Oreochromis niloticus: one gene and its partners. The protein of the gene in region 3 purifies or fractionates together with the protein of the main gene of each other region. This does not show direct contact. Links are inferred from orthologs where the notes say so. Each region holds a gene or a part of one and is shown on either strand. Other genes may lie near its edges.

Region 1 (7,065 bases), on a different chromosome or scaffold from region 3:
CTTGGCGCTAAACAGGCACTACATTTTTTTAAATTTTTTTTTATTCTGCATTTTTATTTTTTTATTTTTTTTAATTCAAACTACATACTTTTGAAAAGCCATCCAAAAAAATAAAAAAAAATAAATTCAATTATTCAAATCAACCGTCACTGACTTATACCGTTTGTAACAATATAAAAAGCATACAAATTGTCCTTAAAAAGTCTTCAACAGAGCACAATCACAAGTCATTTTAATTGACATGTCATAGTAATTGTATTATAATCATAAAAACGTTTTCCAAAGTAAAACTACTCAACACAAACCTTGTTGAAATAGCTCTTAATTACACTTTTGTTCGATCTTCATATCTACTTAAAATGCAAACATTCTGTTAAGTAACTGTGGGATTTATTGATATATGATGCCAAGAGACAATTTAGGTCTAATCATTAGTTCATAAAGATTAAAAGTGCTGATCATCTAGTCACTGATTGGCTGGAACATCAGTAGCTCGTGTTTCTGATGGTGATCCTTTGAGCCACCTCAATCTTGAAATCGCCAACACCTGACAGAGACACAGTGAAAGCAGATCAACGAAATCCTCGTTTGTGCATCACATTCTAATGTGTGTTTGCATGGGTGTGTGTGCGCGTCTCTACTCACCCTCAGTGAGTGCAGTGCCATCTGAGGAGAGGTGCCAGTATCTGCGGTCACTTTGCCTGGCCTGCTCTCCATTCACCACACTTAAGAAAGGTCCCCACAGGCTGGACTCCTTCTCAAACCTGCCATACAGCATCGTCAGAGACTACTCACTGCAGCCAGTCATACCCAAGGTAAAATGCAATGGCATGAACTCACGTGAAGCCACGATTTTCCTCCTTGAGCAGTTCAAGAGCCTCTAGCAGGGAGCTGCCCTTTGGTACATCCACCGGGTAACGTGCTGCCGCTCCGCTGGATGTCACCACTTCCACCATCACATTCACCTTGACCTGGTTTGGTGGAACCACTGTAGGATCCAAGGGCTCAAGCACCAGAGTGTCTGCAGGAAAGATACACACATAACAATGTTAGTGGCAACAGACACAACCCAAAGTGGCCAAAGAGGGTAGAAATGATGCTGCACATACTATCCTCAGTTAGGCACTCCTTGCTTTTAACTGCCACGTAGGATGTTTGCTGGAGAGCAGGCAGAGTCTGAGAGATGGCCATGGGGTTGTGGTATGTGTTGCTTCTAGCAGCTGTCCTCATGGCCTCCATTGAGGCGGCACACTCTGCAACCTCACTGCCCATTGCTAACAGGGCCTTGAACACATCAAATAAACACACTTCAGCTGCAAAGATATTGCTCTGTAGAAGTCTCTGAAGAGAGAGAGAGAGGGGAAGGATCCTTACTTGAACTGCAAGGCCTGTGCTGAATTCATTGCCAATATGACCATCAGTCCTGCGGGAGGCTAGAAGCTTCCCCTTGATCTTGCTAAGAGCCGTGTTCAGCCCAGCAGCGTTCTGCATGTGAGAACCAGTGTCCTTCACACACTGGAGTGCCATTCCAGCCATGGCATACGTATCTGAGGAGAGAAATTGGATAAAATATTAGCACGACTGCATCATTACAGCTGTATTCAAAGCTAAAATACAAAGTGAAAAGCTTTTAACATTTTCACAGCATACTAATGTAGATGTTTAGTGAGAGCTAAGCTAGCAGTACAAGAGGTAACCGCTTCGCCAGAGCAAACTGTGGCATAGACAAAGAACTGAAAGCTAAACTGTATGTAGAGCTTCCTGTTAAATATCCATCAGGTGGCCTCAGCTTCAAACTCAATGGATTTTGATCTGAAATGTAACACGGCAGTGAATATACTCCATCATGTCATCAGCGGTGAACTAATTTATTCTAAACCCATGATTGTTAGTAGGTAATAGCAGGGTGACTCCTGCATCATTATTTCACCTTTATTTTAACAGCTAAAGACACCATTAAGGCATGTTTCACCTACCCACACTCTCAGACTCTCCATGTGTGAACTGCTCATGTTCTGCTGCTTTGATGAGCTTGTTGGTCACATGGTTGTTGACCCTGATGCCGCTCACACAGAGAGCGAGCACACCCAGGGAGTACTGGTAATAGTTGGTCAAAGGGCGGTGGGTGACTGAATGAAGGAGAGAAATGCAAATGAAACCACATTACACTGAACCACAACTTCACAGCAATGTTTGAGAAATTATGAGGCATTTCACTCTGGATGAAATTAGACAGAAAGTTACTCTATCCCTGCTAAATTCATAAACCATGAAATATGACCCCCGTCCTCTACATTAGGTAAACTCTGGTCAGATACTGTAGCACATCAAAAATGAGAGGATTGCTGAAAAATTTTATGACAACCATTGCCCTTCAAAAACTAAAAAACAAACAAACAAAAAAAACCTTACAGTGCTCTTTCTCCAGCTCCATCTGGTTCTTCAGGTGTGTCAGCAGTGTTTGACTCCTCTCGTTCACAGTGAAGCTGACCGTGTTGAGATCATAGCAGGAGGACTTTAAAGCCAGGCTGTAGAGCGCCAGCACACCAGTCACAGGCTGACTGTTAGAGAGAGAGCTGAGAGGAGGAAAAAAGGCTCAGTAGAGAACATTGGGGAGAAAGGGGACTTCATAGAAAGTGTTTAAGTTTGCATAAGTGTGTGTGTGTGTGTGTGTGTGTGTGTACCTTTGAATGTCATTGTGCAATTCATTTTTTAGTCTGTTGAGGTATTCGCTCTCCTTGGCGAGGTTGTGTTTTTTGGAAAGGCGTAATGCCAAGTGGATACTGGGGTTAGGAAGTCCCTCCTGGCTCTCCAGAGAGCGAAGGAGATTCTTGTTGAGTGAAAGCAGCAGCTCAGTGTTGGAGCCATCTGTATCTGAAATTTAACTTTATAGGTTAAAAAAAAAAAAAAAGTCACCTGACACAAACGAAACCTATATAAGTATCTCTGCTCTGCTGCTGTTGACATTTACATGAACTTTTGAGAGTGTTGCAAAATCACAGCTGCTGCATCAGCAGTTGTGACAAACACCATATGCACTAAGTTACAGAATCATCACTACTGCGTTCAACACCCGCAGCAGATCAAGGCCAGAGAGGAGCCACATTCCGTGTTAATCCTGCACAACTAAGTAAACAAGCAACACGATGCATCACTCACATTCATTAAATACGCAATTGCAACATCTGTGAATGTCCAGACTCGTCAGTAAGTGTATTTGCAAACTGCGTTGCCTCAGAGTTAATGCAGCTTTAAAAAGTTTAGTATAGTTAAGTTTTCTTTTCTTGTTTAATTAATTTGTAAAAACGTCTTTTTAAAGTCGGCCTACTTACCACATGGTATGGTAGAGGCAAAACCAATACCAATCAGTGCTGAGATTATCAACAAAGTTATCATTCTGGATAACCTGCTGGTTAAAACATACAAAAAGAAGGCACACAGACACACAGAAAATGAATCAACTCGGCTAAACAGTTCAAGTTAAAAACAAAAACAGTAAAAGTAAAACAGATATACAGTCATTGCGGGTGATAAAAATGCAAGGAACTTTGAGGAAGGAATATACAAGTAATAGACAATAAATATAAAAATAACTGATTTATAGTGACATGGATTGTGTGCCAGCATCACTGCAGACAATAAGTATCACATGATTATAAAATCAAAGTGTTGTTTTGCCATATCCTATAAACAGCAGCGTGTTACCTCCACGGATCGTCCAAAGTGAGGAATCACAGCCGAGTGACGAGACGAGCTGGGACAACAGCTTCTAGTGTTTCACTGTCACATGACTGGTCATTTGCAATCATAACGCGAGAGGGTCCTTTTAAACGTCAGCTGACAGGAAATTAAGAAAAAAAATCTCTAATATTAAAAAATAAAATGCCAACACCATCTTGTCACTAGAGATCACTTTTACATTTCCACGACAACGTTTTTTTTTTGTTTTGTTTTTTGTTTGGTCTTGTTTTTTTCTTTTTCGGAAACTACACTTTGTAGTACATCCACTGGAACTACATTTCCCACAATCCCACTAAACGTAACATGCGCACTTTCTAGAACCCTGACGACTGTTCTGGCGCGACTCAGTATTCAGAATAAGGAGCTAACGTCAGTTTGACCCAGCCTATCGTAGAAATCCACAGAGCACGGTGACAGTTAATTTTGGATCTTTTTCTATTCGACCGGGGTATCACGCGATTAGGTTAGTACGACTTTAGCTTGTAAAAACTGTTTTTGTGTACAAATGGGAACTCTCTAAAGGAGAATAAATAAGCTCTAAACGGAGGCGAGCTAACTAAACACATTTGTCAACAACAAAAACGGCAATGGGGCAGGGCAGCTGCACAACTCGCTCTTTAACGCCACATATTTTTGCTTAACTTGTGCAGAGTGGCTGTTCAGTGCAGGGATGAGGCTGTCGTGTGCTTACCTCTCATCTATTAATAACACAGTTTTATCATTAACATGCTAACGGCAGTAGCATTATAGCTAGCTAAATAGGAGGCAGCTAGCGCGATGTAAACAAATAACATGTGCGTCATGTAGTTTGTAAAAAAAAAATTAAATTAAAAAAAAAAACCTTTATCAGCTTAACTGACTGGTATCACTACTGATCTTCCAGATCAAAGTCGTTAATAGCTGCTTACCCGCGTAGCTCTTCAAAAACATTTAATCGATTGGGCCAGCATGCATCACCCTGCGCCCTCAAGCAGTGAGCTGAGCTGCCTGCCAGCCATGTATTCCTTTTCAGGCCCCACAAGCCTTCCCGACTTCGACCTCGGACCTTCAAGTATGATTGAGGATGTACAGACAGCGACAGTCTCTAACAGGTATGTAACTGTTGCACTGTGCACTATTTGTTTTTTTTGTTTTGTTTTTTTTGTTTTTCACCACATTTGTCAGACACGCTTTGGCTTAATTTGAAATATACTTTTATTTCTGAGCCTGACACAGGCATTTCCTGTGCCTCTATTCCACAGCAACTGGGAGACTAGATGCCTCAGGAAGCACAGGAGGAGAGCAGATGATGAGTAAGTGAGATATGAATTTTTTAAAAAAAAGAAGAAGAATACAAGCATTTGGTAATGCTTGTCTTAGCCCTACATAAGTGTTAAACTATATGATTGTTTTATCAGGGGATGCAGTGCCAAAAAGAGGAGGTTAATGTTTGAGGCAGAAGTTGCTCCTTCAAATTTGAGCACTAGCACAGAGTGTGACTGGTCTGGCGCAAACAGCTGCTCTCCTCCGTCTGCACAGCAAGCCTGCCCTGCGGCTCCACAGTCCTGCACAACATCTAAAAACACCACTTTGCCGCAGACCTCTTCTTCCCTGTTCCGACTTGAGACAGAGAGCTCCTGCATGGAGATCGAGGCCGCACAGAGAAAACTTCAGGAGATAGAAGACAGGTATGCAATGTATAACATTTGGGAGAAAAAAAACAGAACAAAACACAACTGGTCATTTGTTCACAGCAGCTGTGTTATGTTGTGTATTGTCTTTAACCTCTGCATAATAGTTTTATCTTCCTTTGTAAAACGAGTTGATTCTATTGCCAGTTCACCAACCCACATTTGTGATTGGTTAGATGTTGCCAAGCCCTTTCATGTAAACATGCAGGGGAAACATTGGGTTAGCTTAGAGATTTTGTTTCATATGCTTGCTTATCCTGATTGCGAATGATGGGTTAAGTGAAACCAGGTAATGGAGACATAATCCTGGGTATGTTGTACAGGCCCCGAAGCAGGTTTTGGTGTGTAGAATAAGTAACCATAGTGATGTAACCCAGTAAAAAGTTCTGAAGTCTGAGTATTCGAGGTCAATCCTGAACGTACCTCTGTAAGCACAGGCCTCTGTTTATAATGTGCATACAATGTATATGTCAGGCCGACAGACCACCCTTCAGACCCTTCACCCTTCAACATTTCCATTTATATCATTCAAAGTGGGGTTTTTTATCTGGCATTCAGTGTTGGTGAAGGTTTTGGGGGTTACATCACAAGAAAGAGTGACAACCCACAATGTACTATTGATGTATCACAGAATAACACTGGAGGACGATGAGGATGAAGATCTGGATGTAGAGCCAGCTCCGAGACGCCCGGTGCTGGTGATGTCTGACAGTTTGAAGAAGGGTCTGCAGCAGGGCATCAGTGACATCCTCCCCCACACAGTAGCACAGTCTGTGTATGTTCTCTTTATTTTGTTATTGGAACATTTAATGGTGATTTTTAAGTAATGAATAGAAATGGATATACTTTATTGTCCCTCATTAGGGAAATTCAGGTGTTCTAGCAGCAAAGCGACAGGCAGATGGAGCATGCAGATTCACACAAAAGAATATAAAATAAAAAGCAAGAAATAAGAGACTGTACCGGGAAATTTACAACATAAGAAGGAAAAAAAGAAAAAACATTAGTAATGATGTGAGACGGACTGCAAATATTGTTTTCAACTGGCAAGAGTTTCTTGATTAAGAGTCAGAGCAGTTGGACTTCTTTAGGGATGCTAATATTTGTGTCACCTTCGTCTTTCTCACACTTTAGGAGCCGTTCCTGTATGGAGCTGGTGCTATGGCGGCCACCAGAAGATCCCTTCAGTCAGAGACTTAAGGACTCATTACAAAAACAGCGCAAACAACAGACCGCGTGTCGGCAGACTCCAACTCCATGTCCATCTCCCAGTCCTCACAGTCCCCTTAACCCCTCAAGTCCACCAGCAGACACACACTCTCCTCTGTACAGTTTCTCTGTGGCCCACAACTCTGGGGAGGAGGAGATGGAAATGTAATAGTGTTTCTCCACAAAGTGATGCCAAAATGAAAGACTGGACACTTGTAGCCAAGTGAAAAGATTTAAAAAGACGTGGAACAACTTCAGGCTGGTCAGTTTGCCTTTATATGGATATTGTGAAGTTTTGAACAGTTTGTGAAGCGCATCATTTTCTTTGCAGCAATTTATGTTTTCTGACTTTAATCCCATTCAATCCCACTTGTAACATAATAACTGACATAATCTCCAAGGTCTGTCAACAAGTAGCCTTACATAATACTTCGCAGTATTAATG
Region 2 (7,753 bases), on a different chromosome or scaffold from region 3:
ACTTGTATGTGCTGTACTGGTGAACCAGCACATGTCGTGTGACAATAAAAATTTGATTTGATTTCATTTGAGTGTCTGGGCCTTAGCCTTAGAGATGACATCTGGTGGGAGCTTGGAGTAGAGCTGCTACCTTAAAGTTGAAAGGAGCCAGCAGAGATGGTTTGGGGATCTGATGAGGATGCCTGTCAGACATGGGCTGGAAGTAGAACCCAGGGGACACACTGTGGAGATGATATATGTCTTATCTGGGCCAACGATTGTCTTGGAATGACTCTAGAGTAACTGGAAAACTTGCTGGGGAAAAGACTGTCTTGAATACCCTGTTGCTGTCACAGTGACCCATCTTAACCCTTTATTTAAAAATGAAGTGAAACTTGTTAAGAGTAAAAGTTTTTTGGAGGCTTGTTTAGCACATATTAAAACCAGATTACCTGCAGAAGAGCAAAACACAAACACAATGCCCCCACAATCTGGCCGCACTGTGGGTAGACCCACACAGTCCATTACTGGCAGCCCACTGTAGCAAGTACTAGCATAAAATGAGGGCACACCTGGACCCCACTGTGGGTCTGCAGCATACCCTCGGTGTGGACCCAGGTGTGTCCCACATTTTAGATTGAGACCCTGTGGGCTGACTACCCGGCCACCACAATCCAGGGCACATTACCACCAGCAACTGGTATGGAGCGTGACTCTTAATTTTTCAATGAATATAAAACAAATCAAATTTTAGCCGCTTCCTTAAGTGTAATTTATGTCCTGGAATTGTGTCAGTCTGCATACACATTTCCGTTTGAACTGAGAGGGGTTTTCACTCACCACAGATGTGCTTCTGTGCAGTCCTCCAAAATCTCCACTATCCGTAGGTGGTGGGTCTGCCAAATCCTGATTGGTTGATAAGTGGGCTGGAACAGGGAAGAGAGCAACAGCGGAGTTCACCAGGAACTGGAGACGCACAAAGCAAACACTGAAGCTCAAAAATAAAGCAAAAATAATAAAAAGTGTCCACTGCAGACACTTTTTATTATTTTTAAAAGTGGATTTCATTTCAGCTCTTTGTAACTTTGCCCTTTTCCTGGGCTGGCTGACGGACCAACAACAGCTGACGGACCAACAACAGCTGACGGACCAACAAAGAGTGAAAGTGACCCACAGGCCAGCTGTACCACATATTTTGTATGCTTCCTCTATCTACAACAGAGTGTGCTGTAGGTAGACGGGCCATCCCCGAGCTGCCAGCGGCCTGTGAACGCATTCCCTCTGCTGAGCCATAAATTCCACTTCATTCACATGTAGTTTGACCTATCAGCGTCGACAAAAACAAGTGATATAAAGGTATAAATCAGTACAGTTCCAGCCATTAACAATTGTGAAGCTGTTTTGGAAACTACTAAACAACTTATAACCAATCCCCATCCCAAGGTCCGACCCAATAAGATACTTAAAATTAGGCAAGTCCAGTTGTTTTCAAGGAATTAAAGTAAATAATAAAAGACTGCCACATCTGTAAAAACTTACAGGCGTTCCCTCTGAGTGTGAATTTGATTTTTTTCCAGTTTTTATAAAAAAAAACACTTAACATCTTTCAGCCAAAGTGATGTAGCTGCAGGATGAAGAGCTTTCAAGGACAGCAAAATTCTACAGTGCACCAACAGTGACTGTATGTATGAATGAATGTAAACCACTACAGTGTGGATCCGCTTCCCCTCAAAGGGGTGAAAAAACCCAACAACAATAAACTCAAATCCTATCAAACAAATAAGCTGACTTGAATATATTGAAAATTGGATATTCTCTGATATCTTTTACTTCTTGCCTGTGCGGGCCTACACTGGATAAACAACAGTTTTGCCTGTTGGGGTCCGTCTGTGGGTTTTCTGTGGGCAAACACACTATGGGTTGACCCACAGAAAACCGTCATGGGGGCCCTGTGGGCTAAAACTACCGTGGCACCCGTACAGGATGACCACAGGGGAGCCAATGAGCGTTTTTCGTGGGCAAGCCAACTGTGCAACGTCATCCATTTTATGTAGTATAACATGAAACTAGTGGTCAAGCCCATAAAGTCAATGAAACCATTCACTGAGGTCACAGAGCGGGGAATCTTAGGGACATTTTTTTCACCATGTGCTTCCACTTGAGTCGCCCCCTGGTGGTAATTATGAACATTGCATTTTTGGCCAATTGTCTTTAACATGGACAATATCAGAGTCAGAAAGGAGGAAAATCCAGGGTATTGTCACTGACTAATGACCCCGTGGTGTGCTCACTTTCACAGTCATATCCACGCCTCACACGTCATGTCCAGTTTCAAAACACTAAGTTGGCAAAAACAATCTGTTTGGCTTTCAACAGTGGGTGGCGTAATGGTGGCACATTTTTTAGTCTTTTTTACCAATCTGTCAAAGAGGTAACTCAGAGAGCCAGACAACCGTTCATGCTCACGATCACACAGTCAGTTTAGAATCACCAGTTAACCTAACTCAATGCATGTCTTTGGGCTGTGGGAGGAAGCCGGAGCACCCGCAGAGAACCCGTACATACATGGGGAGGACAAGCAAACTCCACACAGAAAAGCCCCAGACTGAATTCAAACCCACGACCTTCCTGCAGTGAGGCAGCAGTGGACTGAAATGACAATTATGTAGTAGAGCAGGACCTCAGCATTGGAGGGGACCCACAAAAATTAATTTGTGCTAATTTTTAGAATTTGTCTCAATATCCTTTAGGTTGAGTAGTTTATAGAAAGTATCTTTAAAAAACAATCAAGCAAAAGCCTCAGATATGAGAGCCCAGCTGCACAGGGTGACCGTGAGTCCCAGTGATCTTCATGCAGTCTCATACCTGACGGATTATTAATCTGATGACAAAACCAGATTCTTAAACTTGGAATTTTTTCAAATATCTCCACTGAGGTCAGCAAAACTACCGAGCTTCTCTGTTTTTCGCCGAGACGTGACTCAGTCCTTCGGTTTACACGGTTCTACTTCATGCTGTTATTCTAGCTGTATGTGGTATTAATAATAACAGTTTGCTGTTGTTAATCCTTTGATACAAACAAACTGAACTGAGCTAATGAAGCATTCAGGCGTTTCATTCAACCACTTACATTCAAATAAATAAGGTGAGAAAAAGGAAGTGTGAAACGTGTGTGTGTGTGTGTGTGTGTGTGTGTGTATGTGTGTGTGTGATGTAATGCAATGCAATGCTTCACATTTGTCATAGTTAAGACAGGAAAATGACTCATTTTAGTCAAAGCCACGAGGAAATACTCACTTAGGACTTCCTGTAATGAGATGAAAGTCATATGTAGATACACAAACGAGGTCTTTACAGACATCAGTCCTGCAGGATGTAAAACAAGTATAAAATGTTGTAAGCATAAAAATTAATATAAAATAAGTTAAAATATGATGAAATCTCTTAATATATTACAATAAAGTGTCTCTTTCAGGTGACATAGCTCAATGCATTGCAGGAAACATTAATTGCATTAACATTAATTAACATTAATTGCAATGTGAAAAGGACATTTTATAACTGTAATACATCTACATGTTTTCAAAACTGTTAGTATTTGGATTCCATCACAGCAATCTCAGCACTGACCAAAATAACTGTGATTGAAATCAAGCAGCTCTAGTTCTAATAATATCCTATTTTCCGACTGATAGTTAAAAACCAACAACAACAATCTGGAGTTTGTCATGCAGGAAATTATATTTAACCAGGAAACGGTTACAGTGGAGAAGCTGACACTTTGCATGTAAGAACGACCGGTCTGATGTAATACACTGATACAAATCATGGTATAGAGAAGAGTAATACTTGGATTTTCTGGTTATTTTTGGTGATTTAATAATGAAAAGTACATTTTATGCTTGAGTAATTATCATTAACCCCCCCAAACAATGAATTTAAATTATTTTTGAATTTTGACTGTGCTTCATAAATAAAAATAATACATATAAACAATATAAATAAATTGGAAATTCGGCCAAGCAAAGACTCCAATCTGGCCCCACTGGACAGCTTTTGAAAATGTGAAGGAATACATTTACTTTTAGCTGCATTTTTCTATGTTTTACAGCTTTATTTTCCACAGATAAAGACCTCTCCCATGGTCATTAATGCTAAACCAAACTAATCAGGGAGTGATAAGAAACGTTCCTGTTTTTACTGCTACAGAAATGTCTGTTTGTTATAAAGGATGCACAATTTAAAGTGTCATTTTCTGCGAATTAACAAAAGCTTTCTATATTATTTCAGGATAGTCAATAAACTACCCAAACTTTTTTTTCCAGTAATTTTATAACTTTATGTCTTACAATTTAAACCCAGAGTCATGCTGACAGATTTTTTTCATTTGCCACGACAGCTTTTCTTTGTCATGTAGAAAAACTGAGATGTGCTTTTTTCTGTCCGTCCTGTCTTCTTTTCCTATTCCTATTCCTATTAAGACATCTCGAGGATTAAATGTGTAATTAAACTGATTTAAACTGTCAGAAAGGGAAATTTCACTGGTTTGGTCCACTTCTGATCAAATGGGGGTGTATGGGGCTCACGAGGTAAAACATTTGTTTAAAAAAAAAGAAGTGAAAAGTGAAGAAAAAAGTTTTAAAACGGTTCATTTACTCGGGCTTTTATTTTGGTAGCACGGAGCGGAAGCAGCTAGCTTATTTCAGGCGGAAGCGCTGGAAGACTCAAACCTGTAGTTTGAGAGAGTTTTTGAAGTGGTTGAATAGATTCGTTCCGGGCGGTTCTGATGTGACCCAGTGATCCAGGTCCTTGTGTGAACCTGATACCCTACAGACCGCCCAGAGTTCCTCGCAGTGGTCGCTGTCATCGGTTAGCCTGTTAGCTTCAGCGTGGATTAACTTGTAGAAGGAGTTAGGTAAAGATGTCGGGAAGAGACCCGAGGGCCGTATTGTACTTCAACCTGCCCGCCTCCGTTGACTGTGAGTTCTGCCGCATCATGGACGGGCTGTCAAACCAGGACTGGACCCGCTTTGGTGAGTCAGAACCCGAACATTGACTGAGAGCTAAAGGCCAGCAGCGTGGGGTAGGAGGGACGGTGGAGCCCACCGTTAATTGGGTGTTTCATCAAAATAAACTCTAGCGTGTTTATTCGATGTAACAACTTTCAACTTTAACCGCTGTCGTATGAAATCACTACAGAAAATAAGAATTAAACAAGCTGTGAGAGCCTCAGCTGTGATTCATCCTTCTCGGTCTGCCCTCAGGTACAGGGCTTACCTGTCCCATCTATTTCCACAGAGTTTTAAAATATATAATAATATTAATAAAATATTATTTTAGCGTGAGTGTCAGCTGAGATTAAATCAGGTACAGTTTTCTTCCAATATCAGGTCACATTTTGACTAGAGTTAGTCTAAATATAGATACATTCACCGGTGTCTGTTTTGAGGAAGTCTCTGGTAGACGTTATCTGTAAGTGCACTTGGTTAATATTGAGTAAATACGGAGCACAGGAATGTGACAGAAACTGAAATGCCTGTGTTCTGACACATAATGAAATGTGATTAGGAACAGTTTGAGGTTTCTCAAAAAATCCAGAATGTTTCTGTTTTACTGTAACCTCTCTTAACTAAGGTTGTGTGGGGTTTATTTGACTAAAAATTAGGTAGAGCTCTGTTATGTTGGTGTACTTCATTGAGTTCAGGTGGCTTGAAAAATCTTAAGTTTTCTTAGAATGAAATACACTTTTAAAGTTTTACATTGTATAAGTAGCATTTGGCGATGGTGGGGAGGAAGACCTCTGCCAGTCTTTTCTACTTAAATATAACTTAAGTTTTACAGAAAAAACGACAAAGGCACAGACTTATATTTGAGCATTAGAGAACATTCACAGCTGTCAAAGTGGAACAGTGAAAAGAAATACTAGAGCAGTTAGAGGTGGGAGAAAAGGTTTAGATGTAGGGCTCAGAAACTGTATACAGATGATGGAGCCAGGGATTGTGATGTTATTTTGAAGCCTCACCTTTTAGTGTCTGTGAAGGTTCTCAGTCATCCAGGTCATCGTAGTCAAAGGAGTTTGCAAAGAAAAGCGTCTGGACTTCTTTGAGTTGCTTGAAGATGTTTCACCTCTCATCCGAGAAGCTTCTTCAGTTCTAAGGTCAAATGGCCGAGAGTCCCAGATTTTTCTTTGCAAACTCCTCACCTTTTAGTGTTTTGGCCCCCTGCACCTCTCCTCTGATATCACCATCAGTTCGAATTTGCATCACACTCGCAGCCATCGGAGGCAGCTACTTGTGATCCCTGAGACATCCCTCCATTGTGGCTTATCCTGGTCAGTATAAGCCACAATGGCGACTCTTTATCGAATTACCTCAAGTGGCTATTTAAGGAAAATCAGTTTTTGATACTCGTTTTTGTTTTAACCATGAAGGTTGGCTTGTTGTAGCTCAAAAAAAAAGAGACAAAGTACCACTAATGTGGACTGTTCCAGCTCATATTTTTTGCTGTTGCTGGTAATTTCATTTTTGCCCTGCTGTGGAGACGGCAGAACAAGCACTTCTTTGAAATGAAATGAAACCAGTTGTTAGAACAATAAATTGCCATCGCCTGTACTTTTCCTGTTTGCTTCTTTAGTCTATGTTGGGGTTTTTTGCACCTCTTCCTCCTTGTGGTAAACTCTGGTCATTTTTTTCTGTTTTCAAACTGAAAAGCGTCAGGCCCAGTTGTGTATCCCACCCACATCAGGTGATGGAGTTGTGGTTTGCGGCGGACAGCACGTGCGCTGGTTATGTCCTTGAAATCTCTCAGACAAACTCTAATGCAACACTGTAGCACTGAAGCATGAGTCACAAGTGTTAAGCAACAGATAAAGATGTTAAAAAAATATATAAGGGCAAATGTTGCGCGCTAAATAAGACAAATAACATCACATGCATCAACATGCAGTATGTGTTGTTCAGTAAGTATTTGGAGTAATTTTTATTTTCGTGTTCTCGCCTCTGTACACTTCCACGGTGAAATTTTAAAACAATCATCAAGATGTGGTTCTGGTGCAGACTTTCAGCTTTAATTCGAGCACTTTAAAAAAAGAACCGCGCTAGCTTTCTAGGAGTTACAGCCATTTTTACCCCTCAGCTGTAAAAGGCTGATGGGAATTGTCATTGCCAGGCGGGTGGCGTGGACACCCAAGTTTATGAAAACAATAACTTGAGAACAAGGCAACGTAGGGTTTTCTAATTGATACCATGAGTCCATCTACTAAAAATCTTAGACAAGCTTGAATCTCAGTGACCTCAACCTCAAGGTCAAGGCCAGAGGTCAAGTTTTCTTTAATCATTGCATTCACAAGATTTTCAGAATGAAGTCATCTAGGATTTTCAAATTGATACCATAGGTGCATGCTAGTGATTCCTGAATATCTCTACCTTGCGAAGAGCCAAAACAAATCCTCTTTTTCCTCACTTCTTCTGGAACGCCCTAATTTCCAAGTTCCGACATCTGGATTCAGAGGTATCTGGAATGCAGCATCATGCACAGTTTTAGAGGCTCAAAAGTGATTGGACAATTAACTTGGAAGCCATGTCTTGGCTAAGGGAAGCCTGTTCCTTTGTTATTTCATGACAAACTAAGACAATAAAAGATGTTGATTCAGAGTGTTGAAATTTGCATTAACTCTCAAAAAGAGGCACAAAGAGGTGTTGATATTAATGAGGGAAGCATTATTAGGCTGACAAACACAAATAAAGCTGTTAGAGAGACAGCAATCGGCATAACA
Region 3 (7,797 bases):
GCGTTCTTCTGTGGCTCCGGAGCATTAGCAGACTGCCTCCTGGGTGGTGGAACTGGAGGAGGAAGAGCTCTAGACTGCTGGGAATACTGATGCGGGGAACTGGATGTTCCATAAGATGACTTCCGACCCATCTGAGATAACCCTGTATGGGGCACTGGCTGGCTTTGTCCACTCTCGCTGCCGCGAGGGCCTTGATATTTGCTCTGTCTGAAATTGATGACAGAGCTGGAATCCTGCTGTCCCAGTGCGTTGCTGGGTTGTCTCATCACTGAGCTGAAATGAAAGCCCAGCATTCAACAAACAGTAGTCCTGTGACATGCTTTAAACTTTTAAAAAGATAACATCTGAATTTCTTTGGTCTCTGTCAACTAGGCACTAATTTAAGTGCCACAGCTTAAACAAGAACTTTGAAGTGCAATGATAATATCCATGGTTATGAAAACTTTTCCACATGTCATTATCACAGACCAATTCATCAAGTTAAATACCATGTGGGTATATTTTAGCAGTTTACATACATGAGCTATAAGAAAAGAGAGAAGCTACAGTGTAACCAATGATCAGTTAAAGACACCTTTTCTCTTTAGCTTTGTATGGATGAGGTATGGGTCCATAGGCTCTAGTTGAAGGGGTAGGTCCAGGGGCAGGTCTGTTGCTGCCATACTGCTGGGCTGGAGCAGCCTGTGAGTTGCTTTGTCTGTTCCACTGTTGGCTTTGAGGGACACCAGAAGGGGAACCTGAGGCCTGGTAACACCCAAAGGCACCTAAAGAAAAGGTCAATTCTCACAGGTAAACTATCACAACAAACAACAACTTCTGTCTGTAGATGTGACGGGTTATATAAATGACTTTACAATGCTAACCAATATTCTAAAAACATGTAAAGTCAAGCATACCTAAAAGTATGTTTAATTTTTCTGTGGATACACTGACATCTAGTGTCAGAAATAAAGCAGAAGCTTAGAAAATGAACAGTTCACCTGCTGGGTTGTGAGATATGGCTGAGCCGGTGTTTGGTGTGTACTCGCTGTGAGAAAAGAATTCATTCTCAGAGGGAAGAGCGGTCAAAGGAACCCTGTTTCGTTTCTTCTGGTTAAAGAGCGGCACAGAGAGGCAGCCTGGAGAAAACGGCAGAGGAAAGACCAGTGAACGAACCACAGCGCAACATGATGCTTAATGACACCACATACTCACTGACTGTTCATTATTTAACCTATTTAACTCCTCATGTACAAATAAACTCCACAGCTTGCCACATTTATCCACACACAAAGGCTCTATCACACAACCTGGCTGGAGTCAAAGAAATCAATGACTATGAGGTGGAGATGAATACACTGGTGTGCAGACTGTGAAGTTATTTATTTTTTTACCAACCTGATGTAGGCCTGGCCGCCTGGTTTTCCTGTCTCTTCATTGTACTTGCTTAGTTTGCAGTTTATTTAACTGGCAGGACTTTTTTAGCAGGGAAAACAAAGGTAAAAGAAAAAGACTATACGCTTGGTTTTCTGTGTAGTGCTGGAGGTTAACTAACTTGGAAAGTAGTAAGCTAAGCTAATTTATCTTGCTCTGGCTCACTAGCTAATAAGCTAGCTGTAATTTTTAGACATGTCATACAGTTACTGCCTGAAAGTTCAAAGTGTCGTGCTTTTACAGAACCAACCCATTTTCTGTGAACATCTTACATAAATGACCAGGTCGTTGTTGGTGAAAACTTGACAAAGTATTACAAAAAACTAAGACAACGGAAGTTAAAATTCAGCACCTCTGAAAGCGCCAAAACTTCGCGGTGACAGGTGATGCCTTCACGGTCTATAAGCAAGCTTGGACTTTGTAAACGCAGCCTCGAAATAACGGCTGGTCAAAAAATAATTACCGTGACATCTATATTTTTTGTGAGCTATTACCTTTTGTTTGTGATGTTTTTTGATCATCTGCTTTTGGCTGTTCTCTTATACACAAGAGGTCGCCACAGTGGATGGATCCACATATTTCATTTACACCGAATGTCATTTCCGATGCAACCCTCCCAGGGATTTGTATCCCTCCTTAAACCGGGAATATTTCTTGTGTTAAGCACTGCGGTCCTTTTTGGCAATATTGTATTCAAAATGATTATACATACAGTAGCTGTGGTCAGAATTTTAAATGCAATCAGGAAAGGTCATGAATGTCATGGTAATTTGTGGTTTTTAATCATTTCTTTGAACTGTTCTTTTTCCAGCATCTCTCTTTTAATGACTTTAAAAAGTTTTAAGTTCTAATTTATTTGGGATTTTTTTCTAATACACACTGGGTCAAATGTATACATACAGGCTCAAATACAAGAATACACCCACCCCAATATGGGTGAAACGTTTGATAGCTGTCATCAAGCATCTGTCATAATTCTGGCTGAATTTTTAACCATAATTCTTGGGATAATTGGTAGAATTTGTTAAATTAATTAAATTTAAAGTCATTAAAGATGTATGTAGTGCAATAATTCCACTCTGGAAAAACAGTTCAAAGAAATCATTAAACGTGCAAAACTATTATCACATTCATGAGTGTATCTTCCGACCACAACTGCACATGACATAATTTTAAAATTCCAGGTTAAAAATAATTCTAATAAAAGCAGGTGATATTTTAATTGTTATTGTTTGACCGTCGCCTGATGCACATGTTATGTGTTATTATACCCATAATTATAAATAATAATATAATGATAAATTAGAACATTTGCAGCAATGATTAAAAAGCAAACTTTTTCTGTTATGTTTCGCTTCAGAAGCTTCAAAAGTTCACATTTATGCACTATAATTCTTGTCAATCATTAACAATAAATAGAAATCAAAGTTTAATTTGAGCTAGATAAAAGTCAGTCTGACCTTAGGCTGTCAGGCTGGCCTTTATTTAACCAACTTATATTACTTCTACAGACATAAATTACATTACTGCACATTCGTTAGGAAACTATAACAGAAATATGATGACTGCAGGTGTTTTGTCCTTTAAGCAAAGTGAAATTTTACATTCATGTTGTTAAGATCACAATAGTTGCAACATTATTATCCTTACAACAAAAGATGAATATGACTGAATCCGGGTGTGCAGAGCATGACTGCAGTGGAATATAAAGCAAGTCACGACTCTGTGAAGGGAAATAAACATGCAGATTATAACATGATTAGCATTTCACACAAGCGGAGACAGAAACAGTAGGATGTGTGTGTATTTGTGTGATAACAGCAATCTGTTTACCCCTGTCTTCCAGTAGATGGGGGAGTGAGACAAAGAGCAAACTAACAGCCAGCGGGCTTCCTATGTTACTTTTTAAACCTACTTCCACACACAGCTGTCATTCATTTCTCTTAGTGTGCTGTTTACCACAGGAAAACATGGATTTCTCATCCTTACCCAAATCCAAAGAACTAGAATGTACAAAAATGTGTGTTATAAGCGTCACCTCATTTACTAAAGTCTCTGCCATGGTGAAATGTGGATGCGATCAGTCCTGGTGGTGCTTCAGGAGATGAAAATCAAATGAAAATGAGGCCATGTTTGGTTGAGTGCATAAGAAAAGACGTGGGCAAAGGTTTACAGCAGTGCCATCTCTGCTCTTGGTTTTGTGTAGTGCCTGAGGCTCAATGTGCTGAGTTCGAAGGCCACCTTTTGATCTTGGCTTCTATGTTTTGACTTTTCTAGCTTTGTGAATCCATAGCAACAGCAGCACTGATGGTCTATTCAGAATGTCTTCCACGTCCTCTTGATCCATTGAGAAACTCTTTGATGAACAGATAATTTGTGAAGCTGAGACTTCCAGGTGAGAAAAAAATACCTAATCATTTCGGCAGAGCTGCTGAAATTATTAGGATTTTTTCTGGGATTCCATAGAGACAGTGACAGTGCTAATGGCATAATCAGCTATAACAACTCTCTATAGGCAGAGTCTTTCTGAATAAAAATTGGGATGGTTTATTTCCCTGCAAAAGTCCACTGGTCCAAATAGTTAAACAATTTAAGAGTAAAATGGCAAAAGAGATTTCATCAGTAGCAGGAATGTCAAACATAAAGCCAAGGGGACCAGTTTTGGCCCAGCAATGGGTGTGCCATAAATTTTGAGCTTTTAAAACTGTGTGTTTCAAAAATTTTACACCTTGTCCAGCTGATAAAGAACTCCCCCACACAGGCCTGTCAGGCACTGAAAACATAAAAATACTAAAAGGGGGGGGGGAGCAGGCCCCAAAGTGTAAAGAACATGAAATCCTTTATGTAGAATAAGTTTAGCATTTTGCTTTCAGGACTACAGCAACTGGACTCTTCTGTTCCCAAATAGAATGTTAAAAGATGAGGCAATTACAACATAACAAATCCCAGCTTCACTGTAGTCATGTTGATTGCATGCACATTTTTTCTTGACCTTTTCCATAGCACCCCAGCTTTCTTCTTCTTCTTGGAAACAGGAATCTCACACAGTCCAACCTAATCACTAAACAGCAGACTCATTAACTTATAGTCTAGTGCAACTGTGGGTGAGTAACCCTGAGATTTTGTCTTGGACATTGTCTGCATGTCGTGTTTATCTGTTTTAGTGTGCCAAAAATAAATAGATACAAACATCACCGGCTTTGAATAAGTTGCTGGTCTAAATAATATTTTCGGGGTTAATATGTTTATGCCCTCACTTCCAACCTCTTCCTCATCTCTGTGCTGCTCAGAGAGCCAGTAACACATCTTGTGTAACGTAGCACCGGGTTTTCGCTCATCTTCTGGAAGTTTCAGCTACTGTGCTATATATTATTGCTCAGATTCCCCTCACGGGTGAAACGCTCATCTGGAAGCTGATTACGGATTTTCTACCTCCTAAACTGGCAACCTGCATGTTGTTGAGTGGGAGGCGCTAGTTCACAGTAGTTTCTGGAAAGGAACCTCATGCTTGCACCATGGAGAAAGTGAGTGTCCTGCTACTTATTTAATAATTAAAACTTTCTAACTATCATATTTAAGACATATTTGTGTATTCCTTTGAGTTCTTTGGGAAAAAATTTATTTACAATAATTTGGAGGTCGGAGAGGTTAGTCAGCTCTTTATCCTGACCGCTCACTGTTTGCTAGTTAGCTTGTTAGCTTAGCGTAATCTCGTTAGTAAGGTGTTGTAGTCATTTGGGCTTGCCGTTTTCACCCGTCACAGAACATTTTGACAGCACTAAACTGCAATGTTGCTTAACTTCATATTTCAAAAAGTGCAAGTTAACTTGAATGTTTATTCGCGCAAGGTTGTGTCTCACTTATGATAGCACACGACAAGGTTAGCTAACTGTTAAGCTAGCGTGCAGCAACTTAATTTGTCACACTTGCTTTTTACGTAAAATTATCCCTGTAAGGTTTGCCTGCCGCTGTTGCCAGTGGACAGTGTAGGCTCGGTGTTGTAAACCAGCCTTTTAGCCTTCTGCAAACATGGGCAATATACAAGTTACCAAATCTCAGTCAAACGCTATCTTTGGCTCACAACGTGAATTTTTATCAGTATGTCAGGATAAGAAAAACAGAGAGTCTTGATTTTATTAAGAAACAAACAAACAAAACCTTTGTGACCCCTTTATAAAACGAAAGCAGACGACTGTGAGCTTTTGCAGCAGTCGGTCTGTAAGCACATGCTGCAGGAGTATTTTTGGATTAGCTTCAGCGGTGCCATCGGCAGTCTGCACTCACACCGGAGGATCATTCTAGATGCACACACAGGCGAAGCTGTCATGGCTACAGCCGCATGTTGTCGTCAACTGCTGCGTCCTCTCGAACGTTCCGCATAACAGCTGCATTCACAGATATGAATGGATTTCATATCTGAGCTATTTTTATTACTTAAAAACTACTGTTGCGCTCAGACTCGGTAACCTATTTGTCCAGCATAAAATCAATAAGTGTGGTGCACGTTAGAAGTCAAAAGAGGGCACTGCCTAGTTAGAAATGTGCTGATGTTGCGAGGAATTTGTCCATGAGTTTAATTTTTATTACCTTTTTGTATTTTCTGGATAACGCCAAACTAAGAAATATTACATTAAGGATTTGACACATTGTGAAAGTAAGACTTGATGTATGCCTCAAGGTTCTTGATCAGCATTCACCATGGTGCAACACATCTACAGGTTTCATTTTCATTTTGGACCGACTTAGTAAAGATTATATGTGGATTATTACAACTATATGCACATTGTTTACACCCTAAGTACTAAAATGACTAGACTGTGATTACTTAATGCTTCACACAATGTATCCAAGTGAAGCATTTGGTCAACAACTGGACCTTGGTGATATAATCAGCTATCCCTTCCTTTAAGCTCCATAATATTTACTGAATATTCACTTTTTTTTTTTGACTAAACCCTATAGCACTGCAGGGGATTGTGATGTAGCTATGTTGTTTCAGACTGGATTAGGTCTAATGACTGCTAAGAAGAAAGTTGTGCCACATAACACTTGAAAGTTTTTTATCGTGGCTAGTTGTTAGTGGACTGAGTTTTATCAGACAGTTTTCAAGAGGAGCCAGCAGGGAGTGAGAAAACCTTTTTGGAGCAGCGTGGTGCTTCTTTCTTCTTGGCGTGTCATTGATTCTGTTAGATTCAGAGGAGGCACAGCGCGATTACTTCACAAACTGTAACAAGCAGCTTTAATTGACAAAGGGTGTACAGTATATTGACAACCTTTTTTTTTCTTTTTTTCTTTAGCATTGTCAGTATGGTTTGCTGTTGTATTCACTCTAACTTCCTGCAGAGAAAACTTTTAGAGTAATATACGTCTAGCTATCTAACCTCTGTTTTAGTTTAAAAGAAAAAAAATCATTATCTGTAACTGACACAAAAGTGGGGTCACCTTTGAGCTTGCTGTGAGGCAGGGCTTATTTTCAGGTCAATGCGGTAACAAAATAAAAACATTTTCTCTCTGCAAGACTCCTGCACCTGTTTGACACTAACAGCTGAATGATTGTCAATTCCTTTTTCACTTCTGCCAGTAGCAGCTGTGAAGGATTTTTCTCCAGTCAGGATTGTGTCTTTGTGTATTTAGAGCAGCAGAGCTGCAAAACAGAGGTTTTGTAAACATGTCTGTCTGTCTGTGCTTCATAGGCTTCAGCATTGAAAGACCAAGGAAACAAGGCACTGAGTGCTGGAAATGTCGATGAGGCCATACGTTGCTACACCGAAGCCTTGAGTGTTGACCCATCCAACCATGTCCTGTTCAGTAACCGCTCAGCTGCCTATGCCAAGAAAGGCAACTATGAGAATGCTCTCCAGGATGCCTGTCAGACTATCAAGATCAAGCCTGATTGGGGGAAGGTGAGATGTCCTTTTTTATGCCTTTGATTTGTTGACAGAATATATAGTTATTAAAATTGAGGAGACGGTCTAAAATATTTCAAATGTGATCAACCAGGGTTACTCCCGTAAAGCTGCTGCATTGGAATTTCTTGGCCGATTGGAGGATGCTAGAGTAACTTACCAAGAGGGACTCAGACAGGAGCCAAGTAATCAGCAACTAAAGGATGGGCTGCAGAACATTGAGGCCAAGCTTGCAGGTAAAGACTGGATTGTGTTTTTGTTTTGAGCTGCACAGAAACGACGCATAATTATGTCAAAAGTGTGTGAGTCACCTTTTGTTTCTGTGTGGGTAGAGGATTTTGTGATGGCTGCTGACAGCATCACTGAAGTGAAAATGCATTTTTTGAGCTTAGGTTTTCAGAATGAAGGAGACAGTCCGCTTGAGTTTGGAGTGTTTTTAATCAGACTGTGGGTAAATACTACAAGTTACAGAAAGAGA

The links.
Region 1: the proteins of stip1 (region 3) and ccdc117 purify together in Homo sapiens (affinity purification with mass spectrometry; 5 studies listed by BioGRID and IntAct, counting the BioPlex papers as one, with this or other methods). This does not show direct contact. The link is inferred for Oreochromis niloticus from reciprocal best matches to the Homo sapiens genes STIP1 and CCDC117.
Region 2: the proteins of stip1 (region 3) and irak1 purify together in Homo sapiens (affinity purification with mass spectrometry; 3 studies listed by BioGRID and IntAct, with this or other methods). This does not show direct contact. The link is inferred for Oreochromis niloticus from reciprocal best matches to the Homo sapiens genes STIP1 and IRAK1.

Annotation. Positions count from the first base shown.
Region 1 is NC_031977.2:18,803,410-18,810,474, reverse strand, and holds the start of ccdc117 (coiled-coil domain-containing protein 117), read left to right. Parts: upstream 1-4,052; 5' UTR 4,053-4,204; intron 4,205-4,624; 5' UTR 4,625-4,689; coding exon 4,690-4,832; intron 4,833-4,982; coding exon 4,983-5,033; intron 5,034-5,138; coding exon 5,139-5,408; intron 5,409-6,042; coding exon 6,043-6,186; intron 6,187-6,545; coding exon 6,546-6,789; 3' UTR 6,790-7,065. Other genes in the region: tcn2 (transcobalamin-2), read right to left, coding at 486-547, 646-764, 841-1,021, 1,110-1,284, 1,375-1,547, 1,977-2,129, 2,413-2,576, 2,685-2,874 and 1 more. UniProt on the Homo sapiens protein: Facilitates DNA repair, cell cycle progression, and cell proliferation through its interaction with CIAO2B.
Region 2 is NC_031984.2:5,048,907-5,056,659, forward strand, and holds the start of irak1 (interleukin-1 receptor-associated kinase 1), read left to right. Parts: upstream 1-4,659; 5' UTR 4,660-4,900; coding exon 4,901-5,012; intron 5,013-7,753.
Region 3 is NC_031975.2:9,398,164-9,405,960, reverse strand, and holds the start of stip1 (stress-induced-phosphoprotein 1), read left to right. Parts: upstream 1-4,784; 5' UTR 4,785-4,928; coding exon 4,929-4,937; intron 4,938-7,106; coding exon 7,107-7,316; intron 7,317-7,413; coding exon 7,414-7,555; intron 7,556-7,797. Other genes in the region: spata22 (spermatogenesis-associated protein 22), read right to left, coding at 1-273, 575-764, 981-1,118, 1,908-2,013. UniProt on the Homo sapiens protein: Acts as a co-chaperone for HSP90AA1. Mediates the association of the molecular chaperones HSPA8/HSC70 and HSP90.